Linked DNA regions of Diceros bicornis minor. The protein of the gene in region 2 interacts with the protein of the main gene of each other region in a pairwise test. Links are inferred from orthologs where the notes say so. Each region holds a gene or a part of one and is shown on either strand. Other genes may lie near its edges. The genes, in order: PRKCI, PARD6B and CEP76.

Evidence for each region.
Region 1: the proteins of PARD6B (region 2) and PRKCI interact in binary tests that used the Homo sapiens proteins (3 or more experiments, as listed by UniProt). The link is inferred for Diceros bicornis minor from reciprocal best matches to the Homo sapiens genes PARD6B and PRKCI.
Region 3: the proteins of PARD6B (region 2) and CEP76 interact in binary tests that used the Homo sapiens proteins (3 or more experiments, as listed by UniProt). The two-hybrid records come from large-scale screens. The link is inferred for Diceros bicornis minor from reciprocal best matches to the Homo sapiens genes PARD6B and CEP76.

The regions. Positions count from the first base shown.
Region 1 is NC_080754.1:51,657,698-51,668,822, reverse strand, and holds the start of PRKCI (protein kinase C iota type), read left to right. Parts: upstream 1-6,451; 5' UTR 6,452-6,631; coding exon 6,632-6,732; intron 6,733-11,125.
Region 2 is NC_080758.1:11,469,966-11,480,602, forward strand, and holds the start of PARD6B (partitioning defective 6 homolog beta), read right to left. Parts: upstream 4,283-10,637; 5' UTR 4,064-4,282; coding exon 3,998-4,063; intron 1-3,997. UniProt on the Homo sapiens protein: Adapter protein involved in asymmetrical cell division and cell polarization processes. Probably involved in formation of epithelial tight junctions.
Region 3 is NC_080755.1:10,838,695-10,849,674, reverse strand, and holds the start of CEP76 (centrosomal protein of 76 kDa), read right to left. Parts: upstream 4,006-10,980; 5' UTR 3,795-4,005; coding exon 3,732-3,794; intron 2,695-3,731; coding exon 2,539-2,694; intron 1,487-2,538; coding exon 1,405-1,486; intron 782-1,404; coding exon 557-781; intron 1-556. UniProt on the Homo sapiens protein: Centrosomal protein involved in regulation of centriole duplication. Required to limit centriole duplication to once per cell cycle by preventing centriole reduplication.

The DNA.
Region 1 (11,125 bases), on a different chromosome or scaffold from region 2:
ACAGAGTGTAGAGCAGGAGTACAGAGGAAGAGGAAAAATGAAGAGAATGGGTACCTAACAGCCTGGGGAGCAGAGGTGAGTTTGTCAAAGGTTCCTAGAGAGGGCATTTCAGACTAAGCAGAGGGTACTACATATACAAAGACGGGAATACGTGTCATTGGCATCAATCGTCATTGGGAGCAGAGGTGAGTTTGTAAATGCCCTTCCTAGTTTGCAAATGCCCTCCTATATGCATAACTCATTGTGCCTTATATCTATTTCAATTGCATCACATTGACTTTAAAAATTAATGTCAGAGCACTTCCAGAATAGAGACATGAGCTCCCTGTATACTCTCCCCAATGAAACAACCATAACTGGTGAAAATTATAAACAAAAAACTATCATGGGATCAGACTGTGAAACAGTTTATGTCCCAGGGCATTGTTAAAAACACTGGGACAATCAGTTGCCAATTAGCGGAGGCTAACAGCTGGGAGTGATATCAATAAAGGCCAACCAGCCAAAAGCTTGGTAGGGAGATGAAAGAAAGAGATGGTCAAAGAGAACTTGCCTAAAATCACTGTCATCCCCCAGGGGAGGGAAATGGAGTTAGGGTGACAGTGTGCATGCCAAAGCTACACCCTCTGAGGAGACACATCAGAGGCTGCACACTGTAGGGGAAATAGACTTTACTGAACTAGTCTGGCCAAGTCACTAAACAAATAAACAAGCAAACAACAACAACAATGACAACAAGCCCTGGAACCAGTCTCGATCAGTCTCTGGTATTGCTACAATGGATATGTATAGTTTGCAACAAAAAATTAAGAGTCATAAAAAGAAACAGGCAATTGGGACCCATACACACAGAAACTGCCTTTGAGAAGACACAGATGTTGGACTTAGCAGACTAAGACTTCAAAGCAGCTATTATACAACTAAAGGAAACCACGCTTATGAGTATAAATTCAAAATTCCTCAACAAAATATTAGCAAAGTGAATCCAGCAACATATAAAAAGGATTATATGTTATAAGCAAGTGGGATTTGTCCCAGGATTGCAAGGTTGGCTTACATCCAAAAGTCAGTTAATGTAACATATCATACCAATAGAATGAGAGACAGAACCACGATTATTTCAGTAGACACTGAAAAAGCACTAAAAAAAATCCCAACACCCTTTCATAATAAAAATAGTCAATAAACCAGAAGTAGAATGGAATTTCCTCCACCTGACAAAGGGCATCTACAAAAAAATGTAGAGCAACCATTACATTTAATGGTGAAAGACTGAAAACTATCCACATAAGATTGAGAATAAGACAAGGATGTTTACACTCTCTTCTTATTCAAGATAGTATTAGAGGTCCTAGCTAATGCAATCAGGCAAGAAAAAATAATAAAAGGCATCCAGATTGGAAAGGAAGATGTAAATCAATCTGTCTTCTAAAATGGCATAATCATGTATATAGGAAATTCTAAGGAATCCACCAAAACACTATTAGTACTAATAAAAGAGTTCAGCAAGCTTGGAGGATACAAGATATATGTAAAATCAATTGTATGTCTATACACTAGCAATGAATAATCAAAAATGAAATTAGGATGGGAATGTAAATTGGTGCAGCCACTGTGGAAAACAGTATGGAGGTTCCTCAAAAAATTAAGACTAGAACTACCATATGATCCAGCAATCCCATTTCTGGGTATTTATCTGAAGAAAACAAAAACACCTAACTTGAAAAGATATCTGCACCCCCATGTTCATTGCAGCATTATTTACAATAGCCAAGACATGGAGACAACCTGAGTGTCCATCAATGGATGAATGGATATAGAAAAGATGGTATATATACACAATAGAATATTATTCAGCCATAAAAAAGAAGGAAATCCTGCCATTTGTGATAACATGGATGGACCTTGAGGGCATTATGCTAAGTGAATTAAGTTAGAGAAAGACAAATACCATATGATTTGCACTTATATGTAGAATCTGAAAAAAACTCTGAACTTATAGATACAGAGAACAGATTGGTGGTTGCCAGAGGTGAAGGGTGGCGGGGCGGGGGTGAGAGAAGTGGGTGAAGGTGGTAGAAAGGTATAAACTTCCATATATAAAATAAATAAGCCCTGGGGATATAATGTACTGCTGCGTGGTGACTATAGTTAATGATACTGTATTGTATATTTGAAAGTTGCTAAGAGGTAAACCTTAAAAGTTCTCATTACAGGAAAAAAATTTGTAACTGTGTGGTGATGGATGCCAGCTAGACTTATTATGGTGATCATTTTGCAATATATACAAATATTGAATCATTATGTTGTACACCTGAAACTAATATAATGTTATATGTCTATTATATCTCAATAAAAAAATGAAAGTAAAAAAGATCTTGATGCCCAGGACCCCACCCTGAGGTTCTGTTTCAAATGGTCTGAGATGCTCCCCTACCACCACCAACATAGCTTGTAAAAGTTGTCCCGGCAATTCTCATGTGTAGCCAGAGCTAAAAGCTACTGATGTCAGAACCATTTTCTGTACTTATAGGCTAAATCAAATTCTAAAACCTCATGAAATTAACATACTTCAAAGTAATTATATCTCAAGCATTTTAGGATTCCAGGCTATAAAAGAGTAAAATGCTCATTTAGAATGATTGAATGAAAAAATTAAAGAGAAAAAAAAGAAATTAAGAAAACAATTCCACTTATAATAGCATCAAAAAGAATAAAATACTTAGGAATAAGTTTAACAAAAGAAATGCAAAACGTTTACTCTGAAAACTATAAAGGATTGTTGAAAGAAATTAAAGATCTAAATACATGGGAAGACATCTTAGGTAGGAAGGCTATATACTGTTGACATGACAATACTCCACACAATGATCTACAGATTCAACGCAATCTCTATCGAAATCCCAGCAGGCTATTTTGAAAAGATTGACAAATGGAAATATAAGGAACCCAGAATAGTCAAAACAATTTTGAATGAAAAACAGAGTTGTAGGGGCCAGCCTGGTGGCACAAGCGGTTAGGTGCGCGCGCTCTGCTGCGGCAGTCCGGGGTTCGCGGGTTCAGATCCCAGGCGCGCACCGACGCACCACTTGTCAAGCTGTGCTGTGGTGGCGTCCCACATAAAGTGGAGGAGGATGGGCATGGATGTTAGCTCAGGGCCGATCTTCCTCACACACACACAAAAAAAAACAGTTGTAAGACTCAAACTTCTCTGTGTTAAAAGTTACTACAAAACCACAGTAATGAAAACAGTGTGATTCTTGCATAAGGTTAGATATATAGATCAATGGAATAGAATTGAGACTTCAGAAATAAACTCTTACATTTTGGTCAACTGATTTTTGACAAGGGTGCAAGAGAATTAAATGAGGAAAAAATAGGCTTTTCAACAAACAGTGCTGGGACAACTGGATATCGACATGCAAAGAAATGAATCTGGACCACTTACATTACACACAAAAATTAACTCAATATAGATCATAGACCTAAATGTAAGAGTTAAACTATAAAACTCTTAGGAGAAAACATAGATGTAAATCTTCATGACCTTGGGTTAGACAAAGGCTTCTTAGACATCACGCCAAAGCATAAGCAACAACAACAACAAAATAGATAAATTTGAGTTCATCAAAATTAAAAACTTTTGTGCTGCAAATTATACCACCAAGAAATGAAAAGATATGCACAGAATAGGAGAAAATATTTGAAATCATCTAACAAGGGACTTGTTTCCAGAATATATATAGAACTCTTACAACTCGGTGAAGGAGACATATCACCCAATTTAAAAATGGCCAAAGAATTTAAATAGATATTTCTCCAAAGGAAATACACAAACGGACAATAAAAACATGAAAAGATGCTCAACATCGTTAGTCATTAGGGAAATCCAAATCAAAATCACAATGAGATACCACATTCCCAACCACTAGGATGGTTATAATGAAGAAGACAGGCAATAACATGTGTTGGCGAGGATGTAAAGAAATTGGAACCCTCATACACGGCTGGTACAAATGAAATGATGCAGCCACTTTGGAAACAGTTTGGCATTCTCTTAAGATGTTAAACATAGAGTTACCATATGACTTAGCAATTCTACTCTTAGGTATATATACCCAAGAGAATTAAAAACATATTTCACACAAAAACTTATACATGAATGTTCATAGCAGCATTAATGTGGAATACCCATACAATGAAATATTATTCAGCCATATATAGAAATGAAGAACTAAAATATGATACAGCATGGATGAACTTCAAAAACATTAAGCTAAGTAAAAGAAGCCGGTCACAAAAGGCCACATATTCTATGATTTCATTCATAGGAAATGTCCAGAATAGGAAAATCCATAGCGACAGTAAATACATTACTGGTTGCCAGAGGCTAAGGAGAATGGGTAGTTGCTGCTAATACATGTGTAGTTTCTTTTTGCCAGGGTGAACATGTTCTGAAATTAGATTGTGGTGATGATTGCATAACTTTGTGAATATTCTAAAATCTATTGAATAGTACACTTTAAATGAATGAATTGTATGTTATGTGAATTATATCTCCATAATGCTGTTAAAAAAATTAAGCTCATGCTTTCCCTGAGCTTTCATCACTTGGAATACAAAAACTTATTTATATGGTGGGATTGATGCAAATTATCAATATTTACAGATTCTTATTGATGACAAAGTAAGCAATAAGCCTCCTCTGAAAACAATGATTACTTTCAAAGAATGCTACGAGGCCAATGCTGAAGGATTTTTCAAACTTCTAAGGAATAAGAATCCAAAATAAGCTTTTCCTGCCTTGCCTTTCTTTTTTTTTTTTAATAATTTTATTTATTTATTTTTCCCCCAAAGCCCCAGTAGATAGCTGTATATCATAGCTGCATATCCTTCTAGTTGCTATATGTGGGATGCGGCCTCAGCATGGCTGGAGAAGCGGCGCGTCGGTTTGTGCCTGGGATCTGAACCCCGGGCCGGCAGAAGCAGAGCGCGCTCACTCAACCACTGAGCCACGGGGCTGGCCCCATGCATTGCCTTTCTAAATTCTTACTTCCCGTATAACATAAATTTCCTTTTCTAGAGGATTATATAATCTTTCAAATTTGTCACAAGCATATTAAATTTTCCATTAATCCAATTAAAATTTCACAATCCCACTTTAGAAATAGTTTATATTCCACAGTTAATTCGTATTTAACATGCTGATGCAGATCCTCAGTTGCCAAAAACCTTGATACCAAGTCTTCCAATGGAATTTTTATTAAGAGCGTATAATTCAAGTTTATAGCAGTTGAAGGACATCCTACCAGGCTGCGTCACACATAACTCCAATGAGTCAATCCCCCACGCCTAAAGAAAGTTATTTCTTTGATTATTCCAACCCTTTTAGTATGTGTTGGTACCAGGACTGATGCAGGGGCTGGATTCACGCTACCTGTACTTGCAATATGTGACAGAGCCAAGACCAGTGGAACGTCAGAGACTAGGCTACAAGGACGGATGCTTTATAATCCTTGGGTAGCCGGTGTTAACAGAAAAAATGATGATGGATGGATGGATGGATGAATGATTAATTGAACAAATATTCATTGTGCACCCGTTCCATGCAATGTCAACATACAGGGGCCTAGATATGGGGGCTGCGAAGGAAGAAAAGTCAGTCTTCCATCATATCTTCTAGTTGAGTTTCCTCCTTTATTACATTCATTATTACATTTGTTACATATATTATGAAATTCTTTCCACAAAAGAAGCTGTGCTGAGCAGGTAACCAAATTCTTGTTCCCCAAAAAGGCACTGTATAATTGAGATGATTTATGCAATCGGAAGGGATCAGAGAACAAAGTCTAGAATGTGACAAAGCCCAATCATTTCCAGTGACCTCAGACGCCCAGGCTGGATTCAGGATTTCCACGCCGACGGCTCCTAGGGCGCAAGGTGGAGACAGACTCTGTCAGCGAGAAGGCGGGGCGCTCTACACGTAAAGATCCTCAAGTCCCAGAATCCCACGGAAACTTCAAATCCCAGAAGCCCACCGGGCAAATCTACTCGGAGTGCCAAGTCGGCTGACCGCGGATGCGACCAAGTTAGGAAACTGGGGTGAGATGCCGCAGTGTTTGTCCCCTACCATTTTCCCTGCGGGGAGGGGGCTTTTTACAGAACTATAGTTACCCGAACCTTCGCGTTCTCTCAGTCACAGCTTCCACGAAAGGCCCCCTCCCGCGTGTTTGAATGACAGTGAGCGTCTCCCGTTCTCTCCTCCTTTTCTTGCCCCCCGAATGAATGGTTCAGCCGGACATGAGGCTCCTTGAGTGGGATCGATGGTTGCGCCCGCCCTCCCCCGGAATGTGGGCCTTTGGAGCGAGCCAGGTGGGAGGGACCGGGGCGGGGAGGCGTGCTGGGCCCGGGCGGCGGGGGAGGCAGTGGCGGCCGCGGGCTGTGGGAGGAGCCGCGCGGTTCCGGCTGCCCCGGCGAGGCGACCCTTGGGTCCGCGCCGCGGGCGGGGAGGACAGGTAGGTGAGCGGGCAGCCGCGGCTCTGGGAGAGGCTCGGGCAGCGGAGTCCCTCACGGCGCTCGGCGCGCCCCCCGCACCCTCGGCCTCCGGCGTTGAGGCGGGGGGGGTCAGGAGATGCCGACCCAGAGGGACAGCAGTACCATGTCTCACCCGATCGCGGGCGGCGGCAGCGGGGACCATTCTCACCAGGTCCGGGTGAAAGCCTACTACCGCGGGTGAGTGTCTCGGAGTAGAGGTGGGGGGTAGGGGTCGGGGGAAAGGCCAGCTGGACTTAGCCTGGAGGAGGGGAGCATGAGGGGCTGGAGATGTTGTGGGCGGGTTGGTGTGGGCGGACGACTCTTGGGACTTGGGATGGGTGACCGGGTGGTCGAGGGAGCAGCATGGGGTGCTGGATTGGGGCACCCCCAAAGTATGGTGCAGGGCTCCCGGGAGTCGCGTGGCTGAGGGTCCGGAGTAGGGTCCGAGGGAGGAGCCTTGGAATAGCGTAGGTCCACCTGGTGGATTCGAGCGACTTGCCTACTAACAGATTTACAGGGCTTTACGTCCTTAAATCTGGGTGTATTTGGGGTTGAGAGTTGATTCCGAGTGATGCCTCGGTTAACTAAGTTTGCACGCTGGGCTTAAAAGACAGGACTGCTTCAGTTTCCTGGTCCTTTTGATTACCAACAGGCCTAAAACTTCTGGTTCTCTAAGTCAGGTTTATCTTCATCGCCTAGATTTCACGAAGTGTATCTGGACTGTGGTCAGGCTGCCAGTGTATTAGACATAGGCGTTATTATTTAAGCGTAAAGCTGGTGCGTTTTCAGGGATGTGCATTCGGTACTTATGCCTCGCCACGATTAGGTTCCGTATGTATAAATTAAAATTTTGTGAATGCTTCTTTGTCAGTGTTGCTTCAAGGACTGCCCGATAGAGTGAGATATATTGCATGGGGAGAAGAGGACGAGCCTCGGCACAGTTTTCAAATCTGTGATCCTTACTCATATCATTACCTAAGTTATAACTCCTGTGGTTACCAGAAATAATCCAGTCCTAAAATCGTTGTATTAAATCATATTCTGTAATCAGTGACCTGAAGTGTCCCCCTTCCCTTGAATTCAGTTATGGTTTGGAATTTATTTGAGATAATTATATTTGGGAGTATTAGAAAGGTGAAATGTTAGTGTGAGCATAAAGGTTTGAAACTAAGGGTTAACAAAACCCCACGGCTTTGGCCTGTCTTACTGCTTGTCCAAGCAGAAGTAAATTGTTTTAAAAAACTCAGGCACTAGGAGGTTGAAACTGCAGTGCATACTTTTAAATTCCTGAGAGGATCAGTGAAGATAGCACACTTTCAAAATGCCTCTCTTGTTTTGATTTCAAAGAAAATATAAGCCCCTAAATGTCTTATTGATTTGATGTAAAGACTTACTAGTTTGCTGCTATGAAGCCTCTGACCCTGTTTATCCGCTTGATTGTATTAGGAGTAGTTTATACGGGTTATTTTGGACAGTATCAGTGTTCGGGTAAATTGATCAAAGAGGTCTTGATTTTAAAACAATACCAAGTAGCGTGTGTATGTTTTTTAAAAGATTTTAGTTGTGACAAGAGCTGTTTTGACTTGAGGATGGTCAGCAATGAGCTTTGCACCAGGGGAAAAAAGCTTTGCTTTTTTAATTTGGTAGGTGAGATATTTCACTCTAGAAAGTGTTCCATTCTATAAAGATGACAATTCGGGCCGGCCCCGTGGCTTAGTGGTTAAGTGCGCGCGCTCTGCTGCTGGTGGCCCGGGTTCGGATCCCGGGCGCGCACGGACGCACTGCTTGTCTGGCCATGCTGAGGCCACGTCCCACATACAGCAACTAGAAGGATATGCAACTGTGACATACAACTATCTACTGGGGCTTTGGGGGAAAAAATAAATAAATAAAATTATTTAAGATGACAATTCATGAGTTGTTAGGTATGGAGAATGAAATATAGTGCATGTTCTTTTTTTTAAGATTCCTGATTCTTGACAGTTTAAAAAACTAGATTAAAAAATGAATATACACACAAAGTAGGAAAGTGCAAATTGTATAGGAGTATAAAATAAGAAGTGTCCCTCATCTCCTCCTCCCAACCTCCAGAGATAACTACTGCTGACAGTTATTTCTGGTTCTTCTGGAGGTTTCCTTCATTACTTTACAAGTTATACTTCTGTTTCATGATTTATCAACTTTAGATAGTATCTATTGATTCCTTCCTCTGAGAGATGAGAAATTGGGTGGACACTACCTTTTGCTTCCTCTCCTTCTGGTGCCTCTCAATTTTTGATTGTTAAACTCTTATTTTTTAGTTCTCCGGTCTACTTTTATGACTTTAAATAATATAAATTCTTGACTTATAAAATTTAGATAGTTTCGGATGATTCCAACTATGAAAGATGAAGAAACCAGTCCTTCTTCCCTTTTTCCCATTTTTATTAGCTTGACAAATGTAAATAGGCCTAGTTAGTAAATGAAAATCATTGTAAGCATTTCCTTTGGAAAGAAACCAAAGTCGGCTTGCTATACTTTAGGAATGTAGGTATCATATTTTCTTGGCTTATTGCCCTAATTATTTAAAAAAAGTGAATAAGGGCATAGAACCCTTTTAGTGCTTGACTAAAATTTCTCCAAGACATTCAAGTTTACATTTTCTTTGTTTTTTTAAAACCTATGAATTTTTGCTAAGAAATGAAAGAATCAATCCCTTGCTCTTTAGTGCTTTTTAGTCAATGAAAGCTTTCTAATAGTGCTTTCATTTCAAGCCTCATTTAAGGACAACATCAGCACTTTGTAAATTGTACCGATTTCTGTCCTCTGAAATTAGATCTGTTAAGATTATATGTTTATTAACAATAGTCTAAACTGATGGTTATGATATTACAGAGTCAGCTGCTCATTACTACAGATGAAACTAAAATGAGTCAGCACTGAGGATAGGTAATAAACAGGTTGGCTACCTAGATCACCTACCTGATTTGAAAATAGAAAATTCTTCCTTTATATCAAGAAATGTAAGGACAATCTGCATTTGAAAAATTTTCCCTCAGATCTTCTGAATGGCCATTTTCAGAGAGCTTTCCCTTTATCCCCTTCTAACAGTATTTCTTTCCAGCAAATGTTTAATCTCGGAATAGCCAGAATATTTTAGTGAATAAATTGCCCTCTCCTTTCAAAGATGTGTATAGTGTTCTCATTCTGTTAAATTTGTTCTTAGTGCAAATGTGCTGTCTCCGTACATATAATAGACATTTAATTAGATTTTTTCTAGTTTTTAAGCAGGAGATTAACAGCACTGAGAGTCTGATTTTATTGGAGACCACCTAAGAGTGCCTGTCTCACAGCCTGTACCCTTCTTTCTTCGCCACCAGAGCTTGTCAGTGAGTGGCCCGCCTTCTTCAATCATTACCTAGTAGTGTTAGTGTGGAGGAAGAGAAACAGGTTCTGTTGGTTAGTGATAGATTGCCATTGTATGTGCTTATCCTTATATAAAGTTACTTGATATTATGGGATAGAATTTCACAAGGAAATGTCTGGACTCTTCATTTCTTGACATTATAAATGTATGGGAAATTTTGCAAAAAACTTGTAAAAATGCTTTTTAAACCACTATTGAGCAGTTATAACAATCCAGAAGATTCTTTCTGTGCCATTTACAGATAAAAGGAGATTGTTAACTCTTTGCACATTTGGAATGTATAGCTGGTTCAGGGAAGAAGTGTGAAGGATTTTTCTCACTGTGAACAAGTCTTGGCGAGACTTGGCTTTAAAAGTATTGCAAAATAATTTTAGCAATATACTTTAGTAATTGTTCTAAAGAAATAAAAATAGTATATTGAGTTGCGAGTTGGGGGAATGTGAGCTGTTGGTCCTGGAACTTCTGATATGGCACCTCACCATAGGGCAGCTGATCCGTAGCTTTACCAGAGAGAGAGAAAGAACATGATGGCCTGGTGCCAGAAACCAAAACCAAAACAACCCTCTCAGAAATTTGGATTAGATAATATGGAGATAAATTGCATCTTAGCAGTGAGGACTGAAGCCGCAGAGTTGAGAGAGAGGCTGGTGAAGCCAGGGCTGACCATGTGCAAACTAAAGGAAAAAGAAGCAGCACTCTACGAAAAAATTCTCCCTAGAGGTCTATGATAGCTTTCTAACACAACTCCCAACCCCCTTTTTAAGGTAACTTGAGTGTTTGTTTTTCTGTGGTTGAAATGAGCCGTTTAATTAAAACATGAGTTTTTACAATTCCAGTCTTGCTTAAGATTTCACATATTACAAAGTGTGTTTAAACTCAGTTTAATAAACACTTAACTGTAAGCCCGGTGCATAGTGCTAGGGTGGGCACAGAGGCTGTAGAGGTGGATAATACAAGGCTCTGCCTTTGAAGAACTGGGAGACCTATGGGAGGAAAGACATAGAAGAGTTAACAAAGGTGTGTGTGTGTGTTCATGTATAAGGTACATGCAGGGATGGATGTTGGGGAGGAGTTTGGGGTGAGGGAAGCCTTCCTACAGGATGAAGTGTTGGAGGCTTTTCAAGGATAAATAGGTTTGCCTGGTGGTTAATGCTGTTGGGTGGGGGTTCATTCCAGGCATTGTAC
Region 2 (10,637 bases):
GTCTAGAGATGAGAAGCATCTTCTCTGTGTTAGTGCTGAAAAAAGCAGCTTTATCAATACATCAAATATATGTCCTCCAACCACCCAATTAACACAAGGAGTGTTTATGTGCTTGGCACAGTGCTAGGCCCTAGAGACTGAAAGGCTCGGGCCTGCACAGAAGCTCACCAATTAGTGGGTGAAGGGAATAATTACTTCAGTGAGGTATTAAAGGATCACATAAACAGAGATGATAGCACCTCCATCATGGCCAATATTTATCATCACAATTCTGATTCTCAGGTCGGCCTTACTACTCTAGAATCACATCTCTGCTCTCCAAATGACGAATTATTAAAGTGGCTCTTACTCGACACTAAGGACTGGCTTCATCTAGTCCATAACAAACAGGATCTGTGACTTACCGTGGGACTAGCATGGCATTTCCTCAAATGCAGAAACCTCAGACAGGTTAATCAGCCTTCCTCAAAAAGCGTCCCAGTCACATAAGTTTGGGAAATGCTACATAACTATAACCACACGCCTAGGAATCACTGTGGGGACCAGATATCAAAGGCTTGGTTAAGTCCTGCGGTGGATTTTTTAAAAAGAATTTTTAAACAAATGTTTGCCATGTGTGTTTGACCACTAAACTCATTTTCCCTCTAAATATCTATTATTAGCAAGAAATACTAATGTACCACTAAGATAGCCTTAAGCATCATGCAGGGAAAGTCCCTATCAGAATAACCTGAGCAGGTTACAAATGTCAATTCATTTTCCCAAGGACCCTCCGGGACATCTGGACTCACTGCTTTTGCTGTATCTAAGTCCATCTGCCTTGCTTATACCCACACAACTCACCAGTTTTAAATTAAAATTAAAACTCACTAAACCCACCTCTTACCTCTAATAAATAATTAAAAGATTCCAAAACACATTCCTGAATTATAAACACTAACATTTGTCAAGAAAATAAGGTGACTCATACCTAAATCGCCCAAGAAGTTTAGTCACACCTTCACGTTTCAAAGTAAATAAAAACTCGGGAACACCCTTCCTATCAGAGTTAGTCTTATGATGTTATCAAAAGTCATAGTTTCTCCTCCATTTTCCTTATTCTGGTATCACATCACCAAGTTCTGAGGGCTTTCTGATTCATCCCAGGGTTTATCACTTCCCTGGACACATAAACAGGAGCAACATCTAATAATTGAACATTCTGGGCTTCAATGCTTTTGCTAAAGCTTCTGGATGAAAATTCTTTGCTCAGCATTTTTTTCTCTTGCTTAAATGTTATGATAGAAACAATGGAAAACTGTATGGCTTCACCGTAGATGTGCCCTTTAGCAAACGTTAGCAGAAAAACAACAAGAGAAATTGTTATGCTTCTTGTAGCACAACAAGAGGATGAAGAGAACTTTTCACTACATCAAGAAAAACAGGAAGAGAGAGATCAAATTAAGACCCAATCAACAATTCTTCACTATGTAAACCATTTACAACTTTTTTTAGGCTGGTCTAGTTTGTCCTGGCCACCCAGAATGCGTATGGACACCCTTCTCCCAAGATGTGGGTACACTGTAGAAATGCAAACTTTATTTGAATATCCTGTTTGCCCAGGAAAAATAATTAGGAAACGTACAGCTCAAAGACTGTTCCAAGGTTCTTAAAGGACACCACCTTGATGATTGATTAAGAACTCCCGACTCAAGAGAAACAAGATAAATCAGTTACCAAAGAAAAGTGACACGGTAGCTGGTATCACAATTTAACTATAGTTACTTCTGCATTATCCATTACTTTGATTATTTGTACCATCTCCCCTTCCACGAGCAAAGATAATAAAGTTCATACTACTGTTTTCTCTACAGAAGAAAAAGAGATTCTGAAATGTGAATCTGCACATCACCTAGTTGTGGTTACGATCTCTTAGCCACCAGTTTTGTAAAAAGCTTGTGACATCATTAAAGCAGTGAAAAGGGAAATACTGTTTCCAACATCTGACCAAGTATTTCAAATGGTCAAGATGACAAGTGTTTCATTTAATCCACTAAAAATAAATGTATCAACAATATATATTTCGAACGTGAGGTATCACAGACACCCTAGAAACAATACGTATACTGAGCCTATTTATGAACAGCTAGAACAGTGGGACCACACTTCATTCGGTGCAGGTTCTCAGACTGCCTTGATTCTCTTACAAGACATGGTTCACTAAAAGCGCAGTATGGCAGGTCAAATATATAACATGTAGTTTAGACATAAGTATGGGAAATATTCACAGATCAGATGACAGAAGAGAAGGGCAGAAAGCCTGCAATTCCAGTCCCCAAGTGCTCAAGGTTTCCTAGTCTGAGAGATAAATTACTATTTGACTGTATTAATCAGTGCACCTAAAATCCCTACTCATGTTTTCTTATGATAAAAAAATTAGAGGCTTAACTACCAAGATTAGGACCACAAACTGAATTTTAAGATTACGCAATATCACAAGTGTTTTTCTTTTCTTAACCTCAACTCCCACAAGCCCAAAGTAAATGTATTACAGAAATGCCACGACAAGGCTCAACTATTGGGCATGGAACCACTACCGCCACTACACTGCTAAGGGAAAACCTCTATACATTTTGAGTCATCTTATCTCTCAGTTCAACGATGTCACTTCAATTTGCTATGGCAGTTCCACAGAGGACACAGGGCAGAGCATATTGCTTAAATTGCTATCATTACATTTCTATTCTTATTAAACCGAATGGGTTCTGAAACTACTGCCTCTCCTGATACATGAGTTAAGTTGCAAACAACACTGTAAAATGATGTTAAAAATGAATGTAGATATTCTGGAAGGAATAATCTCAGTTTCAGCAACTTACAGAACTTTGCTTATCAATTCCAGATAATAAAAACCATTCTACCACAGGCTGCGGGGAGCTTTACTCTATCACTTAAAATCACTCCTTGATTTTGCATTCTCCCTAAGTACACATTCAATGATATTCCATTTTTTGAAGCTGATATGCTTTTACTTTTCTCCTACTCTTTTATGTGTTTTGGTCTTCCCAACTCTATTTCAAATGTTTTCAGGGCCCAGCCAATGTCCTCTCTTTTGTATTCTATACGCCTAAAAGTTACTCTGTAAAAAAGGCTTTAAGATTTCATCATAAAAGCAGAGCTTGGCTAAGTCATAACCTTTCTGAGCCTCTGTCTTCTTGGAGAAACAGACTAGATTATCTAAGCTCCCTCTGGCTCTTCAATTCATGAAATGCTCACTGAAAATGTTCCCGTGGCTGCCGATCACCTTCAAATTCCAGTTCAAAACCCCCTTTGGAAAGCATTCCCGAACTAATCCCCACAGACTATCCTCCTGCTCAGACAGCCTTGCAATTTAGGAATTCAGTAGATACCGACGTAATTATCAGCAGATTGGCATACCGCTGGCCTAGAATGAAAACACTTGATGTGAAAAGGTGGCAGGATGGAATGAAAAGAGCATCCAGACCCAAACTGTAAAGTGCTACTCGAAGGAAAGGCGATAGCGTTAATTTTCTAGATTAAATGCATACCAAAGTTAGTGCTAGAAAAATCCCCAGCAAGAGGCAAAGCTAACTTTAAAAGCGCTCTTTCCGTCCCTGGGCGACCCACTCGATGCACTCCCGCACCCCAGAGAGGGGGAACATCTTGCGGAACGGGTGTTTCCAATACCTCGTACTCACAGGCCGGGAGGGAGAACCCCCCCGACCTTTCGCTGCACGCCGCGCTCCAAGCCTCCCGCCCTCGCGGACCCCCGGCCCTTCCTCCCGTCCTCGACCAGGACCGCGATCAGGCGCTCCGCCGGTCTTCGCACCCGGGCAGGGGCAGACACGCGGCCCCTCCCTAGCCCCTTCTCCGCAAGTTCACCATCCACCATCTGCCGCCTGCGAGCCGCGCCACCGCGCCCCGCCCCGCCCCCGACCCCGCGGCAGCTCCCCGGCCCCCCGGCCGGCCCGCCCCGCCCCGCCCGGGCCCCGCGCACCTTGCTCTTCACCTCCATGGTGCCCAGGCAGCCGCCGCCCGCCCCGGGCCGGTGGCCGCGGTTCATGCTGAGGCCGGGCCGCCCGGCGGGAGCGCGGGCAGCGAGCGCGCGGCCGGCGGCGGACGCGCTGCGGCCCGGGCGCGTCTCACAGGCACCTGCGGCGGGGCGGCCGCGGCTCGGTCTCGGCGCACAGCTCCGCTCGGCTGGCTCCTCGCGCGGCGGGACCGAGGGTCGGACTGCAGGCGCGGCGGGCGGGGACGCGGCTCCCTCCCTCGGGCCTCGGCGGCGGCCGCGACGGAGGATGAGGGGGCGGAGGCGGAGGAGGAGGAGGGGGCGGGGCAGAGGGCACGGGGCCGCAGCCTCGCTCTCGGCCGCCTCCCCCGCCAGCCCGCGCGCGCGCACTCGAGCCGGGCGGGAGCCGCGGCGCGTGCGCGCGCTCACCTGCAGCCTGCGCGGAAGCCTCCGCGGCTCGCGCCCCGCCCACACCCAATAGGAAGCGCGCACCTGCGCCCACGGCGCCAACCAATCGATACACGCCTCGCGCCGCGTGTGGGCGGGCCGCCTTCGCGAAAATCCCGCCCACAGCCGCGCGATTGGTCCCGCGCTGCGAGGGAGGGGCGGGATCACCTGAAGCCGTGGGCCTCCTCCCCGACCTAGCAGCAGAGCGCATGCGCGGGCTGTGGGGTTTCCGCCCGGGGACGGCCGGCCGGAAGCGCGAGCGCACCTGGAGGCGAGCGGGGCGGGTGGGCCTTGTGCGCACGCGCGGGCGCGCGCCTGGTTGCCCGGGTCCCGGCGGGAGCTCGCGCCCGGCTGGGTGATGGAACGCGGGGCCTGGCAGGTTGCGGGGACGTGGCGGGGCTGGTGGGTTCCGGCCTCCCCCGCTCCCCTTTCCACTTAGGGCTGTTGCAGCCTGCAACAATGTTCCTCCACCACCCCTTTGCGTCGTTTAGGCGTCTGGTTGCAACTGTGGTTGCAAAATTCCAGTTTTCTCGCTCCTGCAGCAGTTACTGGGGAGAACCTCAGGGCTCTCCTGGCGTGGTTTTGTCCGTAGACACTCTTCCGTCTCGTCCCTGAGGTCCCAAGGGGTCGAGCGGGCGCTGGAAGGGAGGGAAAGTGAGCTGAGGCCCGGGATGGCTCCTCGCTCCTCGCAAGTCCGCCTTCCCTGAGGACTTCTCCTAGACCAGCCCTCCAGGGCTTTCTGTTTTTCTTTTCTTCTTTTTTATTTATTTTTAACTTCTGAAGTCTTCTCCCCTTCCTCTAGCCCTTTCTTGGCTATTTGCTGTTTCTCACCAATAACAGCCTTTGGATTGTCTTCGTTTCCCTGATAACAAAAGACTAAATCTTTCTCTCTAAATGCCCCAGTGCCTCCTCAGAGGGACCCTGTTTAGCACTGGCCGTGCTGGGGCGGTGAGGAGGAGACCCGCAAGTCCCCCCACCCTGCAGAAGGGCTCACCGGTGGGACCGCTCATCAGAGCTGTTGAGCCCTCCTGTAGCCGGGCCTGGGCGTGTGGGCGGGGTTTCTAATCCCAGACGGCCAAGAAGAGCTGGTTAGGGTGCTGCCTTCCACCTGAGTCCTCAGGGCCTTGCTCCCCTCATCTCCTGCCCACTTCACGTCCCTCCTGACACCTCGCACCCCTCCTTCCCAGCACTTGTGACAAGTCCCAGTTTTCCCATGTTTTCCAGGAGTCATCCACCTCTGCCCTAGGATGGAAGCTCTGAGAAGGCGAGGGCCACATCTGCTTTGCTCACTGTCAGCATGTAGCCTGGTACCTGACTCCCAGCAGGTACTCAGATATGCCTTTGCTGGGTGCTGGAGCTGAGGGAGTGTGGTTTCTCTGTGCTAACGTTGCCCCACCTGAGTTCAAAGGTGAGAAACCCATCTTTCCCCCTGAGTGGTTCAGTTCACCAAATGTTTGTGGGAGAATTTATGGTGTTTCTGGCTGTTTTGGGTGGAAGTACGGATGGAAGGGATAACACCCCAAGCTAAATAATAAGGCTGCCTCCTCCACCCCCTGTTTAAAGCACCTGCTCGGTGACTCAAGCTGAGCTGGAAATGAAGTGTGGTCCTGTGATGGGGGAGCGTGACAGTTTGGTCTCAAGACCCCTTGATACTCTTAAAAATTATGGAGGGCCCCCAAGTATTTTGTTTATGTGTGTTATGTCTTTCAGTATGCATCGTATTAGAATTAAAACTGAAAAATTTGTAAAACACAAGAATATACAAGCACACATTCCTGTAGTCATCAGGGTGATGATATCACATATCATGTCCCTTCTGGAAAACTCCATCATATACCTGTGAGACAATGAGGGTCAGGAGAGCAAGTGACATCTTAGTATTGTGAAAATAGTTTTGGCTCTGAGAATCCCCTGAAAAGGCCTCAGGGACCGCACTTTGAGAACCGCTCCCTAGAACCATGTCACCACTTTTAGGGATCTGTATTCTCCACTGCCACCCTCCTCTCTCCAGTTGCTGGGGCCACACCCTGGGAGCGAGGGCCCCAGTTCTATGTGAGCGATTGTTGGGTTGAGCTTTATTACTGTTATCCGTACTGATTTATCAGGCCCTTTTCAAAAGGAAGTTCGTGGGTGCCAGCGCACCTGTGTGGGCCCTGCATTCCTGGAGGTATTGTCACGTCCTCTCTCCCCTCCCCCGGGTGTGGCATCCCTCTTTACTTGGACTTTCCTTTCTAGAAGGGAGGGCCAGACCAGAGCTTCCTGGATCTCCTGAGCGGAATTTGCTCTTCGGCCTGCGTCACAAGTGCGCCTGGGTTGTGTAAGGCAGGAATGTGGAAAATAGCTTGAATTTGATAAAGGTGTTGTGGAGGAGGGGAACCCTTTCATCCCAAGAGCTGTTATGGCCACAAGTTTGCTCGCGGGGCCTGAATTTCAGCCTTTCTTGAGAAGCATGAAGCCTGGAGAAATGGCATAGAGGAGTTTATCTTCCTCTTTCTTTGGTTTGAAGACTGAACCCTAATCTCATTTCTCTCCATCACCCCTCCCCACCCCCAAATCCTCAAGTTAAAGCTGATCAGGACCTACGTGTGGGATGAAAAGCTAGTCCCGTGCCTGGGAGGATTCATACTCAGTGAGTTAGGGGGATGAGTAAGGTGAGTGTGTGACATGGACTCTATAAATTATAGGTTCACAAACTCATTAGTTGGGAATGGGCTGCCACTGATTATTACACCCACACACTGTCAGATCTCTCTGGCCCATCTCTACCCTCTGAAAGAAGCTAGTCTGGGTGACATTTCTGCTTTATCTTCCCGTTCAATACTTTCTGTCTTTACATTCTTCTACGACGTAACACAACTGTTGTGTTTGTTCGGTATCTACCTTGCGAAGTGGAAAGAGTTTGTAATTTTCCACAATTATTTTTTATTGATTCTTGTCTTACACAATGATACTTTTTCCTTCCTCCTCCAATTCTTAGGGAAAAAAAAAAGAAAGAGGTGGCAAGAAACCATGTATAATAGTGGTGAGATTTTTTTCAAGAAGTTTCTCTTACCAGCTCTTTTTCTCCTTGACTGCTCAAGTTCCCTTTTTGATGGAGCTGGTTAATAATTCTCTGAGAAAGAGCTGAAGTGTATATTTATGAATCTCAGACGACTCACCAAAGCATTTTAAGCCCTTTTGCAGAGGTGGAATTAAGTCACATGATCTATTTTCTGGTTAATAGCTTATAACATGTTAGTACTTTGTGTGGGGGTGGGGTGGGAGTGCTAAAGAATTATCTCCTGGAGCCTTTAAGAAGCTAGATGCCCTTTCAGGTAAAAACTCATCTTCGTGGGAGGCAGTATGTGCCAGGCATTGTGCGTGAGCCCTGCCCTTGAGGGGTTTGACCTTTGCCCTCTCTGGGATTCAACGTCTCCATCTGTAAATGCAGGCACCGGATGAGATCATCTCCACAGTCCCTTCCAGCTCTTCACATGCTATGGTACCCCAGGGATAATGGAGATTGATCATCATTTCAACATTACCAGGGATGAACTGGAATGAGTAGGGTAATCTTTCCATCAGAGTCAACAGACATGCTGCACTCATCAGCTGAAATATGCCAGTTCCTAGGAGGTGTTGATGAAAATGATGATAACTAACTAACATTTATGAGGGTCTGACCTGGTGCCAGGAACTGTGCTCTGTGCTTTCCCGTGGATTATTTTATTTACTTTTAAGTAACATGAAAGAGGTTTAAATTTGAAGGCACTCAGATCTTGGTATTTTTTTAGGTGATAGATATTAATTTGAGCCCTGGCTCTGCTCCTTGCTGGCTACGTGACCTTGACCCTGTTCCTTTAACCACTCAGAGCCTCAGATTCCTCGTCTATAAAATCAGATGGTACTGACCACCTCATGGCGTTGTTGCAGGGATCAGATGAGAAACTATACGTGACACTTCTCTGCAATCCATCAAGCGTGGTGCGAATGTTAGTGGTTATTATTTAGCAAATAATATTGCCTACCAAAGCCTTTGGTAGAATTTCAAGAAATTCCTTGAAAGAAAACAGAAATGTGTGATAAACCATTCTTCTTGTTTTAGCACAGGGTGACCTTTTAATGGATACCTCATAGTTACAGGGGCTGAGATGCAGCCTACAGGAGTCATTATGTGGCTCCCAGCTGCCTACATTCAAATCCTGCCTCTGCCATTTTGTAGCTGTGTGACCTTGGGCAAGTACTTAACTTTTCTGAGCCTCCATTTCCTCATCTGTAAAATGAGGACAAGAAAAGAATTAATTGTCTTTATTCATGTACAAAGCACTTAGGATAGGACCCAGCACAGAGTAAGGACTCTGTAAACGTTACCTAATTATTTTTATTACCTACTTCCATAAGAGAATTCATTAATGTAATAAGTATTTATTAAGCCTCAACTATGTATATAACAGTGTCCTTGGCATAGAGATAAAAGATAATAAAAAAATAAAAGAATGAAGATGTGATTCCTACCATCAGCACTTCCCAGGTCACACATAGATTGGTTCAGCAAATACCCTTGAGCAACCAGCAAGCATCAGGCAAGGAAACACAAATATGAATATGACAGAGTTCTTGCCTCCAAGGACCTTGGGTCTGGCTGAGAAGTCAGACCTGCCAGAGGCGTCTTCTGGAAGCGATGAGCGCTGTAGTTGGGAGGGGGGCCGGATTGTTGGAGCTGACATCGGTCTCTACCACCAACCAGCTGTGGAACTCTGGACACCTGTCTTAGTCTCTCTAAAGACCATTTTTTTGGGAGAAAACTGAAGATAGTAACACTATCTGCCTTCTTTGAATTAATAAATATAGTGAGTGTCTATTATGTGCCAGGCACTAATCTAGATGGTGAGGATGCGGTCGTAAAGAAGACGGGACAAAGTCGCTGTCCTCCTGGAGCACACATTCCAGGGGGAGAGACGGAATACACAATTAATTAATTAAGGTATGTAGTGCCTTAGTGATAAGAGCCATGCAGGAAAGTAAAGCAGGGAAGGGGATGGGGAGGCCTGGGGGCGGGGCTGAGGTGTGGAAGGAGAAAGAAAACTTCAGATGGGGTGCCAGGGACGGCCTCTCAGGAAAGCTGGGGGGTGAGAGCGATCCCCAGGCTTCTCCGTGGGGGGCCAGGGGTTGCGGGGATGAGGGAGCCTTCCAGGCTGGGGCGCAGCCTGGGGTGAGGACTGAAAGCGATCAGGCTCACTCCGTGCCTGGCACACGGCAAGTACTCGGAAGACCCCAGCTGCTATTTTGAGCCATTACTCAGTGCTAAGGCCAGGGTACGAAAGGGGGTGGGAGCAGAAAAGAGAGAATGACTGAGTCAGCCTGGAGGAGGGTGGGGGTCTGGAGTGCTTCACGGATGAAGGGACTTCAGTTAGAGCTAGGGCAGAAGAATGAGTAGGAGTTTGCTAGAGGCATGGAGGGGGACGCGGGAGGAGGCATTCCAGGGAGAGGTGTGGGGGCGGGGAGAGAACACGGTGTGTTCCCTGAGCCGTGGAGTGGGCCGTGGGCGTGTGCGGGGTGGGGGCTTCTCTGGACGTGGGGGGGGGGGCTGGAGAAGTAGGTGGGGCTCAGATGAGAAGGGCCCCGAAGGCCCACGGTGGGGTTTATGCTTTCTCCAGTTGGTGCTGGCAGACTCCTAAAGTGTTTAAAACAGGGCAGTGAAAGGATCGGATTTGTGTTTTAATAATCTACCAAGGAGGTAGGCACTGTGGGCAGCAAATTAATGAGTCTTGCAGGGAAGAGTGTGATTAAATGGCAAAATGAATGGTCTGGCTTATGGGACTCATGGGGAGGCAGGACATCCCTTCATTCATTTATTCATTCATTCAGCACATATTTATAGGTGAGGTCCAGCTATGTGCCAGGTACAGGCTAGATGCTCGGGCTGCGCTGGGGCATAAAACCATGGCATTGCACAAGGGAGACAGATGATAAGCAAAAACCCAGTTTGGGAGGGGGGTGAGGAAGTGTCACAAATGCGATTGCTTTATGCCCAGGCAGGTAAGGGAAAGGCGTGAAGAGGCTGCGCGGAGCCTACAGAGGACTCCGGCCCAAGTAAAGGGCTCAGGGCCAGAGTGGGAACGCTGGCTTCAGAGTGGTAGGTATTCTGATTCTTTAAGAGAGGCCGGACATTTTTTTTTTTGTGAGGAAGATCAGCCCTGAG
Region 3 (10,980 bases), on a different chromosome or scaffold from region 2:
TCTGAAGGTATAATTCTACAACTTTGCTAAGTTTACAAATATAAAGATTTCTATATTGACAACTAAAATGTATAAAATACCTTTATAGAAAGAAACAGTGTAAAACAATTACAGGAATCAAGTATCACAATTTTAAAGTTATAAAAATGGGAGTTATAAATTCACATCTAAGCTTTGATTTTTAAAAGTTACAGAACATCATAAATCTAGCTATCTTTCATAAATGAGAAGGATCACGTCTCATTCTCCACTATATCCCCAGCACTTGCCCAGCATAGTACCATGTACCCAATAGGCATTTAAATGTTTATTACTAAAGAACCAACCATTAAAACAGTCAAAAAATAATCCTCAAGGAAACTAATTAGCAGAAAATAAAGCAAGAAGGTGCATAGAAGTAGTTTATATACAAAAGAGCAGTGAGGGAAAAAATAAAAGACTAGGGAGATTCATCCTTTATAAATCTCTCCTTACAATAAAAGTTGTTATAGGTGTTCCACAACAAAACATAACAAAGATTTACTCAATTAAATGACAATTTATTATGGCTCCTTACCTAAGCTTTCTCTGTGTACTTCAAGTAAAAACCCATCATGAAAATCTGGTTCACAGGCACAGGGAACAGGTTTAGAACGAAAACGTTGGTTTCGAAAATGTAAACATAAAGTAAAGGTTGAACAAACTTGTCCGGGTAAAGGCTCAGGTTCTTGCAGATGTTCCAAGAAAGCTTTTCCACCCAAAACCTGAAGGTAAAGATACCTCCGTGTTGGATCAATATTAGCTGTAAAGTGTAGCAATATATATGAGGAAACGGCCAAATATCTTAAGCAATGTGATCAAGACAACAGGAAATAATAACTGGACAGAAACAAAACAAAGACTAAAAAAACAAAAAGAATAACAAAAAATTTACTATATATCAGGACCATTTGCACCCAGGGAAGGAAAGATACATAATATGATCTCTTTTTCTGAGTTTACATTCTGGCTACTTTCTCTCAGCTAGAAAGGAGTCAGAGCAAAAGTTTAGGATACCTTTGCTTTTTAGTTGCTTATCCAACATTCCTTCACCTCCACAAACCAACTCAGACAATTATCAACTCAGCAAGTATAGTCCTTAGACAATTATATTACCACTAAAAAAGCAAGGCCATATACTTTTTATAAAATATATTATTAAAACACGAGAAACAGCTGGTCCTATTTTTGCTTCCACTCTGCTATATATTAAATCTTCTGATATACTTCATGCAAATAAACATTTTGATGATTAGTCACAAAAATGTAAGTATTTCATTCTGGGGAAAAAAATTGAAATGCTTTCTATCAAATACCAAACACTACACCACATCTATCCACAGTACTATCCACAACTAAATTAATGTTAACAAGAAATACACATACTTTTTTTTAACAACGTTGACTGTTTATCAGTAAAACAAACAGGTTGTTTTGGAGAAGAAGGGAGTTCTTGATCAACACTGTCCTAAAAAAGCAGAAAAAAATCAAAACAAGTTAAAAACAAAAATTATAGTTAAACAAGGAAATGCTAATAATGGGACTTAGAACTGAACCACAAGTAGATAAGCTAAAGCCCCTCAAAAAACCCTTTATTTTCCTAGTATTATTAAAATAACGAAAAGCCTGCAAAAAAGATGATGCAGCCGGTCACTCCCAAAGTCTAATATTAAGGAATTAAGTTGACTTCCAGCAATGTCCATGGAATGCTAAAAACAAATCCTTAATACCTTAAACGAAGTTAAACTTTCTCTAACCTCATATAACATTTGGCTTATGATTCCACCATGAATTGATTTTAATAAGGAAGTGACGTTCACACAGCAGAAGCTGTTACTAGGTCAATTTTTTAACAAATGGGTTTATAAACGTCACAAACCAAAAAAGGATGCTGTATTAAAATACTTATTCCCTGGCGTATTATGAAGTCCATCCAATTTTTACATTATATTACCCAGGTATTGAGGTCACAGTTTCTAATTATTGCCTCATTTTCAAAAGAAGGCCTACTTACTAATTTGTGCACTGAGAGGCTACCATCTCACTACTGACCTATTTGTGTGAAAAGATTTGAAGGTTCTTACACAATTATTTTCTTAGAGAAACTGATAATTTGTTAATCACAGAGAATATAGTTCCAAAAGAGTGTATTTATTTTTAAAATAAGCTTAATCTAAAAAATTATAGAACAATACTAGTGAAAAAGAACTAGGTTATGGCTAACTAATTTGACTAAAATATATATACTTAAAGTTATAGACCTAGAGAATAACAAGAGAAAATTCTGTCACTGTAAAGAAAGGAAAATGGTACATAACCCCAATTTCATTGATACATAATCCTACTTGCTACATTCAAGGGTAGAATTAGCTTATACTTCAAAGATATTACTAGACAAAATGGTCTTATTCTAAAGTGGTTTTACTAACAGGAGAGGCCCCAAATATAGACCCTATAACCAGCATTAAGCATGAGAATACACTTATACTATCAAATTTTTTCCCCTAAAAGCTCACTCACAGTAACAAAATTAAGTTCTTTCATCACATCATCAATGATTCCCCGACGTCTAAGGGCTTTAATCAAATCATCTGTTGATAACTGTTGTTGATCAGGTGCCAATTCTTCACGTATTGTCTCAGCAAGGATTTCTCTTATTCTGCCATGGACATCCATCTATGCAGAAAACTCGCATTACAATTTACAACATTACAAAGCAATCAAATATTGCCAATTAGGTAATTTCTTTCTAAAATACTGACTCAAAGAAAAAAATGGGAGAGTACACAGACTAAATTCAGGAAAGCTTCTTAAGCTAATAGTAAATGTAAAATTGTTACCAGAATTCAATGAGAATAAAGGTAAAATCTTTTAAAGGAAAAACCAAAGAAAAAATTTTTTAAAGATGAATTTTTTTTAGTACAAATTCTAGAAATAATCTCTGATTATCTACTACCCTCGTTACCATTTCCCCACAAATAACACTCAACCAAAACAAATCTTTGGAGAGAGAATACTGTATAATCAAAATAACACAAACCTGGAGAAGACAATCAAAGTATGAATTTCAGCTTTCAACTTACTAGATGTGACCTCCAGTTAACCTGTTTACCCTTTATGGATCGGGAAATAACAGTGCCCTGTCAAGACTGTGAGGCGTACACAAAAGTCGGCAAACAAGCGCACAATACACGGAGTTCGTGGTACAGCAGCTTACTGCATTCAGCTGAGCGCCTCCAAGACAACGTTCTTCCTGAGCCCCGAAGGGTCACAAATACTTTCATTACAAATCCTTTAGTAACGTCTCTTTCATGACTTAAGAACTGCTGATTTGTTTCAACTTCAACGACACGGCAAGGTTCACCCTTAAAGTAATTCTAATTCCCACCTCTGAATATAAACCTGCTCCAAACACAACTTATACTCGACCTGACTTCCAGAAATCCCCGATAAACGCTTCATTTCCACACTGTCCTACGACACTAACACCGCTCCATCACCTCAGACTCTTACTGGCACTTTCTGGGCTCGCTCTTTCACCGAGACTAGAAAGTTCCTCTGGCGTCAAACCCGACGCTCTGCGCATCCCGCGCTCCGCGTCTCAGCCTTTGCTCGAGTCCCCGGCAAACAGGTGCCGCCGTCGGCCGGGCCAAGGGACGCCAGGCCGGGCGCTCAGGCCACACGGCGGGCAAGAGCGCGCCCGCTGCCCTCACCTTGCTCAGCTGCTGGTGGATGAGCTGCTTCAGCTCGGAGGCTTTCTCCGGGGGCAGGGACATGCTGCAGCCGGCGCCTCGCCGCCAATTCTCCCCACTTCAGGCGCCCCGACCCGCCCCGGAGCGCTGGTCGTGGCTGAGCACAAAGCCGGCGCCACCGCTCGCCTCCGCAGCTCCCGGGGGCGCGACGCCGCGTCAAGTGCGAGCTGGGCGGCGGAGGTGCCCAACTGTTGTTTTCAAACGGGGGCGGACAACCAGCCTGGGGACTGTCCCTCGCTCTGCCTGATCATCTCCGCCCGCAGCTGCCCCTCCCTCGGGGTCCTCACCCCGCGACCTCAGGGCACCCCATCATCTTGCCTTGCCAGAGTCTCCAGATGCGCCGCCCGCTCCCAACTCTCACCCTGTCGGGGTCCAATTCTGTCCTCTGGACCGGCAAGTATGTGGACGGGCCCCTGAGGACCCCGCGCCCAAGGACTCGAAGGACCCCGCCCGCCTGGCTCCGCCCCTCCCGCCTGGCCCCGCCCCGCCTCACTCGCGTCGCGTGGGGCTCCGGGGACTCCGCGCGGGGGCACGGTGCTGAATTTGCGGTTTTCGTTTTCTTTCCTCCCCCGTGGTTTCTCCGTTCCTCCGACTTCGGGACCACCATTTTGTTCCCTGCGGAGAATCGGTTCCCGACTTCGCGGGTTTCACTCTCCTGATGGTGAGTCCCTGGTTTCTCGAACTCTCCACTGCCCGGCTGGGGGCTGCTGCCCCTCCGGAGGCGCCTGTTTCCCGACTCGGGGTGCTTCACCCGGCCCTGGAGGAGTACTTGTTTCTTTTCCAGGTGTTCAGCTTGCGCTGAAAACATATGGAGGATGTGGCTGGAGGCGTCGGTCCGAATAGAACCTTTGTTGGCGCTGTCACCAAACGTATCTAAGTCTGCGGTTTGTAGTCTTTGTTGACTGTAGAACGTAATGTGTTTGGATGTGACAGATACGTTGTACATATGTTGTGCGGGTCATTGTCTTTACGTTTTATCCTAGGAAATCTTTTTTCAGCTAATTTTAGAGTCATTCTTAAGCTAGCAAATCATCGTCGTTAACCATAAAACTACAGATAGGGTAATAAAAGTAAGTTTTGCTAGTAAACACACGGTTTTATCGCTCTTAAAATTACCCGTATTCATTCATTGTTTTAATAAACATTCTGTTATGTGAAAATGTTAGAATAAGACTAGGTCCTTGTGCTCAAGAAGCTTGCAGTCTAATTGGAAACACATGTAAATCAATAAGGGCAATAAATGCTAAGCTAGAAATTTGAGAAGGATATAGAAAGGCCCTAAGATGTATTGGGAGGAAGAGGGTCACAAGGACCTGTTAAGAAAAGCTTCATATGTGGAATCTCAAAAAAAAAAAAAAGAAGCAACAAACTCGTAGGTACAGAGAACAGATTGGTGGTTGCCAGAGTGGGTGGGGGTGGTTGGGTGAAATGGGTGAAGGTAATCAAAAGGTACGGACCTCCAGTTACAAATAAGTCCTGAGGATGTAATGCACAGCATGATGACTATAGTTAACAGTACTGTATTATATACTTGAGAGTTGCTAAGAGAGTAGATCTTAAATGTTCTCATTACAAGAAAAAAAAATGTGTAACTATGTGTGGTGATGGAGGTTAACTAAACTTACTGTGGTAATCATTTCACAGTATATGTGTGTATCAAATTGTTGTGTTGTGTGTTTAAAACTGATACAATGTTATATGTCAGTTATAGCTCAACTTAAAAAAAAGTGATGGTAATTGAAAAATCACTTTTTGGCAATTTTCATTGTAGTAATGCACACAAGAAATAGCAATGATTCCAAAAATAATGTGCAATAGAGTACTGAGGAAGAAAATTTTACATCATTTCAAAGTATCTCCCTGAAACATATGTATTAATCACAAAAGGGAAAAAGTATGTTTGCGGGAGATACCTGGAAGCTTCGTAGCGAAAGTAATGTCTCAAAGATTATTGGTGGTAATGTTGACAGTTATCAGTGGAGTGGTGAAGAGGGAAGCCACGCTGGACTGTGTTGAATAAATGGGAGAAGAGGTGGAGATGTGTATGTGTACGTATTCACTCGTTAATTCAGAGATAAAGCTCCTGCATATGTTTTAGTGGACAGCTGTGGGGAATTTTGGCTGTGGAGGGACACTGAGAAGTAAGGTGGTAGCTAAGGGGGTATGTGAGATCAAGGGAGAGTTTTTTAGAAGGAAAGATATTAGAGCGTTTGTATATGCTGACGGGAAGAATCCAATAGTGAGGAAAAGATGGATGATACAGGAGAGTGAGGGTCTACCCAAAGCAGCAAAATCTTTGAGAAGAGGAAAGGGAATTACAGGAGAGAACCAGGGGATTAGTAGGTGACAGCAGTGAGAAGTGAGAGAGCACTCTCAGGGACCCAGAAAAATAAGATGAAGGCCAAAAAAGAAGCAATTGCTGGAAGAAGGCAAAGGAGGCGCTACATTAAAGAGATGCAGTGAAGAGCGAGTCAAGGAAAATTAGTCGTGTATTAGATGTGGGTGGTCAGGGAAAGGGAAGAAGGTTCCTGGTTTAGGTAGTTGGGTGAATTACAAAATACAAAATATGGGAAGAAGTTTGGATAAAAGTTTGGTTTTGTACATGTTGAATGTGAGTTGCCTGTGACGTAACCATGTGGAGATACCCATTAGGCTCTGGAGTTCACCTTTAAGTCATGGGGATAAATGTGTGTGTGTGTGTGTTTAGTGTGAAAAGAAGCTCACTCCAACCTTTAGGCACTAACAAAGCAAATGGAAAGAAGACCCAAGAGCACTTTTGTTCATACCTCACAGCCTTTACGCTTGCTTTCCCACCGCCTGGAATAGTCTTTTCCCTGGTCTTTGTGGGGCTCCCTCCCTCACCTCTTGCAGGTCCATAGTTACTTGTCGCGTGAAGTGAGTCTTTCCTTGATCACTCTGTTTAAAATTTCAACCAACCGCATAACACACACTCTCACTCGCTTAATTTTTCTCCATAGTACTTACCACTGTATATTTTACTATTTATTTTGTTTTTTACAGTAAACCACTCCCTCACTAGAATGGAAACTCCACAAGGGCAGGAACTTTTGTCAATTTGTTTTACTGCATTCCCAGTGCCTAGAGCAATGATTGACACATAATAGGTCATCAGTAAGTGTTAAAGCAATAGTGTCAAAGATGGTGGAGGCCCTGCTGACACCTCAGTTGCAGCTAATGAAAGAGTGGGTATCTAGCTGTGACGTGCCTGAGCATAAGCGTTCAGTTCTAGTGCTGTGATTACTGTCTTCTGTCTAAACTTTTAAAAGTGCTGCTAATTTTGATGACTTAACATATTTTTATTATTTCAGCCAGCTGTGTCTGTTGGAAATGTTGGCCAGCTTGCAGTAGATGTGATTATTTCTACACTGAGTATGTGTAAGATTGGTTACTTCTATACCGATTGTCTTGTGCCGATGGTTGGAAACAATCCGTATGCAACTGCAGAAGAAAATTCAACAGAACTCAGTACAAATGCTGAAGGTATGTAAGACTTCTGCATGTTTTATTCTACTACAAGGTAGAGTTGTTTTAAATTAGAAATAGAGGCTACAGATACTGTTTTGTAGCAAACATTACTTAGTGCCAGTTTTGTGCAGAATTTGCAATACAGTCACATTGTCCTATTCTCTTACATCCTGGTTTTAGTTCTTAGCCTTTTCTAAATGGCAACTCCTATGAGGGATGAGATTGTACTTGTATCTTTGGGTAGAATTTGAGAGTTCCAATTTTTTAACATGGGTTTTTTTTCCCTTTTATCCTCAGTTTTATTTTCTGTTCCCACTGGCACATGTAAGCATGACCTATACCAGGGAAAGGGGAAAAGAGAATTCCACTGGGCTCAGTCCTGTGAGTTTAATATGTGCTGCCTCATCTAAGCCTCATAGTCATCCCTCACATTCTTATAGAATCCATAATAATATGGTATCAGTAAGGCTCAGAGAGACTGAATTGCCTACTACTACTAGTAGGTGTATGCTTTTCCCACACCATAAATCTCCATAGTTCCTCATTGGACTAGCAAGCTTCGTTAGTCAGGGAACAGTTTCCTTTGCGCTGACCACTGTGTGTACGATGTGGGACTGCCCCGAGTGAGGGGAAAAGCTGTTGATCCTGAAGCCCAGGAGCATCAGTCACTTCATTCGATGGCTGACTGCTCTGTTGGCCTCTCTGTCTTCTGTTTACCATTTTAAGGTGAAAGCCAGAAGTGATAGAGGAACATGAAAAACCATTGGTGGAGTTAAAGACAAGTGAAGAAGCGTTTTATTTTTTGTCAGTTTTATTAACCATGTCATTAGGTTGCGATAATGAAATATACTTTCAAGAAATAACCTTAATATTGAAATTCCTGCAGGACAGATGGCTTTGTTAACACAAGACTGAATTTCAGCTATTTCTTAAAGGATAAGGACTATAAATGGTAGAACTAGAATTTACATTCTTTCACTGTTGATAACAGCTATCATTTATTGAGTATTTCCTATCAGCTGACCATCTTGTGTAATTACATGTATTGATTAGTTTAATCCTCACTGCTACTCCATAGGTAGTTTTGTAGTTGAGGAAACCATTGGACACAAGTTAAGGCCATGTGATTAATAATTCGTGTAACTGAGCTTCTACTCAAGCCAGTCTGGCCCCTGAGCCCTGCCTCTTAAGCACCACCCCACCCTGCTAATGGACCCCCCGGCTTTCCTCTGACACAAACTGGCAGCAGGTCAGTTGGGTATAGTTCTTTAATCTGCCTTTTCTTTTTAAGATGAGGTATTTTGAAGTAAATTATAGACATCATGTCATTCCACCCCCAAATATGTAAGTGTGCATCTCTTATCTTTTAAGAATGTTTTCTTACATAGCCAAAATATCATCGCAGTTAACAAAATTAGCAATTTCTTAATATCTTCCTATATCCTATCCATATTCAGATTGGCCCATTTCACCCCAAAATGTCCTTTCGAGTTAGCTTGTCTAAACCAGGACCCGTAGTACATCTGATTGTTGTGCCTTTGAAGTCTCTTTTACTTTAGAGTAGTCTCTTTCTTTTTTTTCCTTCTTCACAAAACTGATTTATTGAAGAAAAAACTGGACCCATTGTCCTATAGAATGTCCCCCTTTCTGCATTTGTCTGATTACATCCTTCTGGTGTCATTTGGCTTGTTCTTCTGGTCCCTGTATTTTATGTAACTGGAGTTAGGTCTAAAGCCTTGATTAGATAAAAACTAAATATTTTTGGTGGGACTACGTGAGAGGTGATGTTGCATCACATCAGAAGAAAAAGTACTGGGAAACAGGATGTTAATAACAAAAAAGAAGTGCATGATACACTGATGGAGAAGATGAGTATTACTGTTATAGAAGGTGGTGTATCTTACATTTTAAAGCTTAGCCTGCCCACTCCCTACAGATATATCCTCTTCCGACTAGGTCTGTTGTATGTGTATGTCAGAGATAGATTAGAGGCCTGAGTGGCCTGTGCCTTAGTCCCTTTTCCCTAACGCCTAAACTTCCTGCTCTAGCCTCCTTTGCCCTGAACATACATAGTGGTCACTAGACTTGCTGATGCTTCGTAGCCCCCAGTCACCTCACACCACACCACAGCAGTCCAGGGGGACATTCCCCAAAAGACCTGTAACAGGAGAGACATGATCCACCAAAGGATTTGCCTGCGTCTGGGGTTAGTTGTAATCTTTTTATAGTACTAAAAGCTTACCCCTTAGCACAATGACCTAATCATGTGTCCCTTAGAGACTCTATATTTTGTCTTTGGTTCATATCAGAGCTTCTCATTCTTGGAGGTGAAGTTGGGCAGGAACATCTTAAGCATCAGTAAAGTGGGCCCCTTGTAGAATTTAATGAAAATTATAGATCCTTTTCCCAGAAAAAATGCATATACATTGATTCACAGAAAATTTCTCTAGAAAGAAGAGGGGAGAATATGAGAAACCAAAACATTCTTTTTTTTTTTTTTTAAAGATTTTATTTATTTATTTATTTTTCCCCCAAAGCCCCAGTAGATAGTTGTACGTCATAGCTGCACATCCTTCTAGTTGCTGTATGTGGGACGTGGCCTCAGCATGGCCGGAGAAGCGGTGTGTCAGTGCGCGCCCGGGATCCGAACCCAGGCCGCCAGCAGCGGAGCGCGTGCACTTAACCGCTAAGCCATGGCACCGGCCCCAAAACATTCTTAAGAATGATTTTATTCGTCATAATGCCAGAAGTTTCCAGGGGAATACTTCTCTGGTTTTACAATCAAAGTCAGAAGAAAAATAATTTTTGATATTTTCTTACAGTTAACTTTTCAGAAATGAATATTTCATAGAATAAAGCCCACGGATGCCTTTTAAGGTACTTCTAATATGTTTTATTTTAACCAAATGATATAGTGCATATGTTCTATATTTTAATTTTTGAAAATATTTAGATATAAAAGTCTCATAATTCAATCTTAATTTTTTATCATTAATAATTTCACTTGTGTAACTCCTCCATTTTAACTATCATGTTATTTCATTTTTTCTTGTCTTTGTAGTATATTCATTGCCTTCAAAGAAGCTAGTGGCTCTTCCGTTAACATCCATTTTTATTAAGGTTAGTATGTTATATTTGCCTTTTTAAGTTTATTAAACTAAATATAATGAGAAAATACTAAATCTATAAGAATTAAGATTCAAAAATCATTTCTGCTCTTTTACTGTATGTACAGTTAAAAGTCTGATTCTATAGAAAAATTATCTCAAAATTTCAGAGGTGTTACCATTATTTCATGATTATCTTGAAGGGAATTGGGACATATAGCTTGGGTCTTATATACTCTTGAATCAGGTAGCACTGGTAAAAAAATATAAGCGTATGAATATTAGAGGTTTATTCCATTTGTAATATGTTTCAACCCGTGGCGTCTACGTATAAATTATGTATATATCAAAATAATATTCTGAATCCAACTTCTTCTTTCCTCTTGCATTGCTACCCCTCTAGTCCAAACCACTGTCTTCTCCCAGCCCCTAATTCTACTCTTGCACCGCCCACTCCCCACAAACATTTAATAGTCTGTTTGCAAACAGCACCACCACTGTCCTTTAAACCTAAATCAAATCACATCACTTCTCTCTTCAGTACCCTCCAGTGGCTTCCCATCTCACTCATGAATTCCCAGCCCTTAGCATGGCCTATCAGGCTCTACATCTGCGCT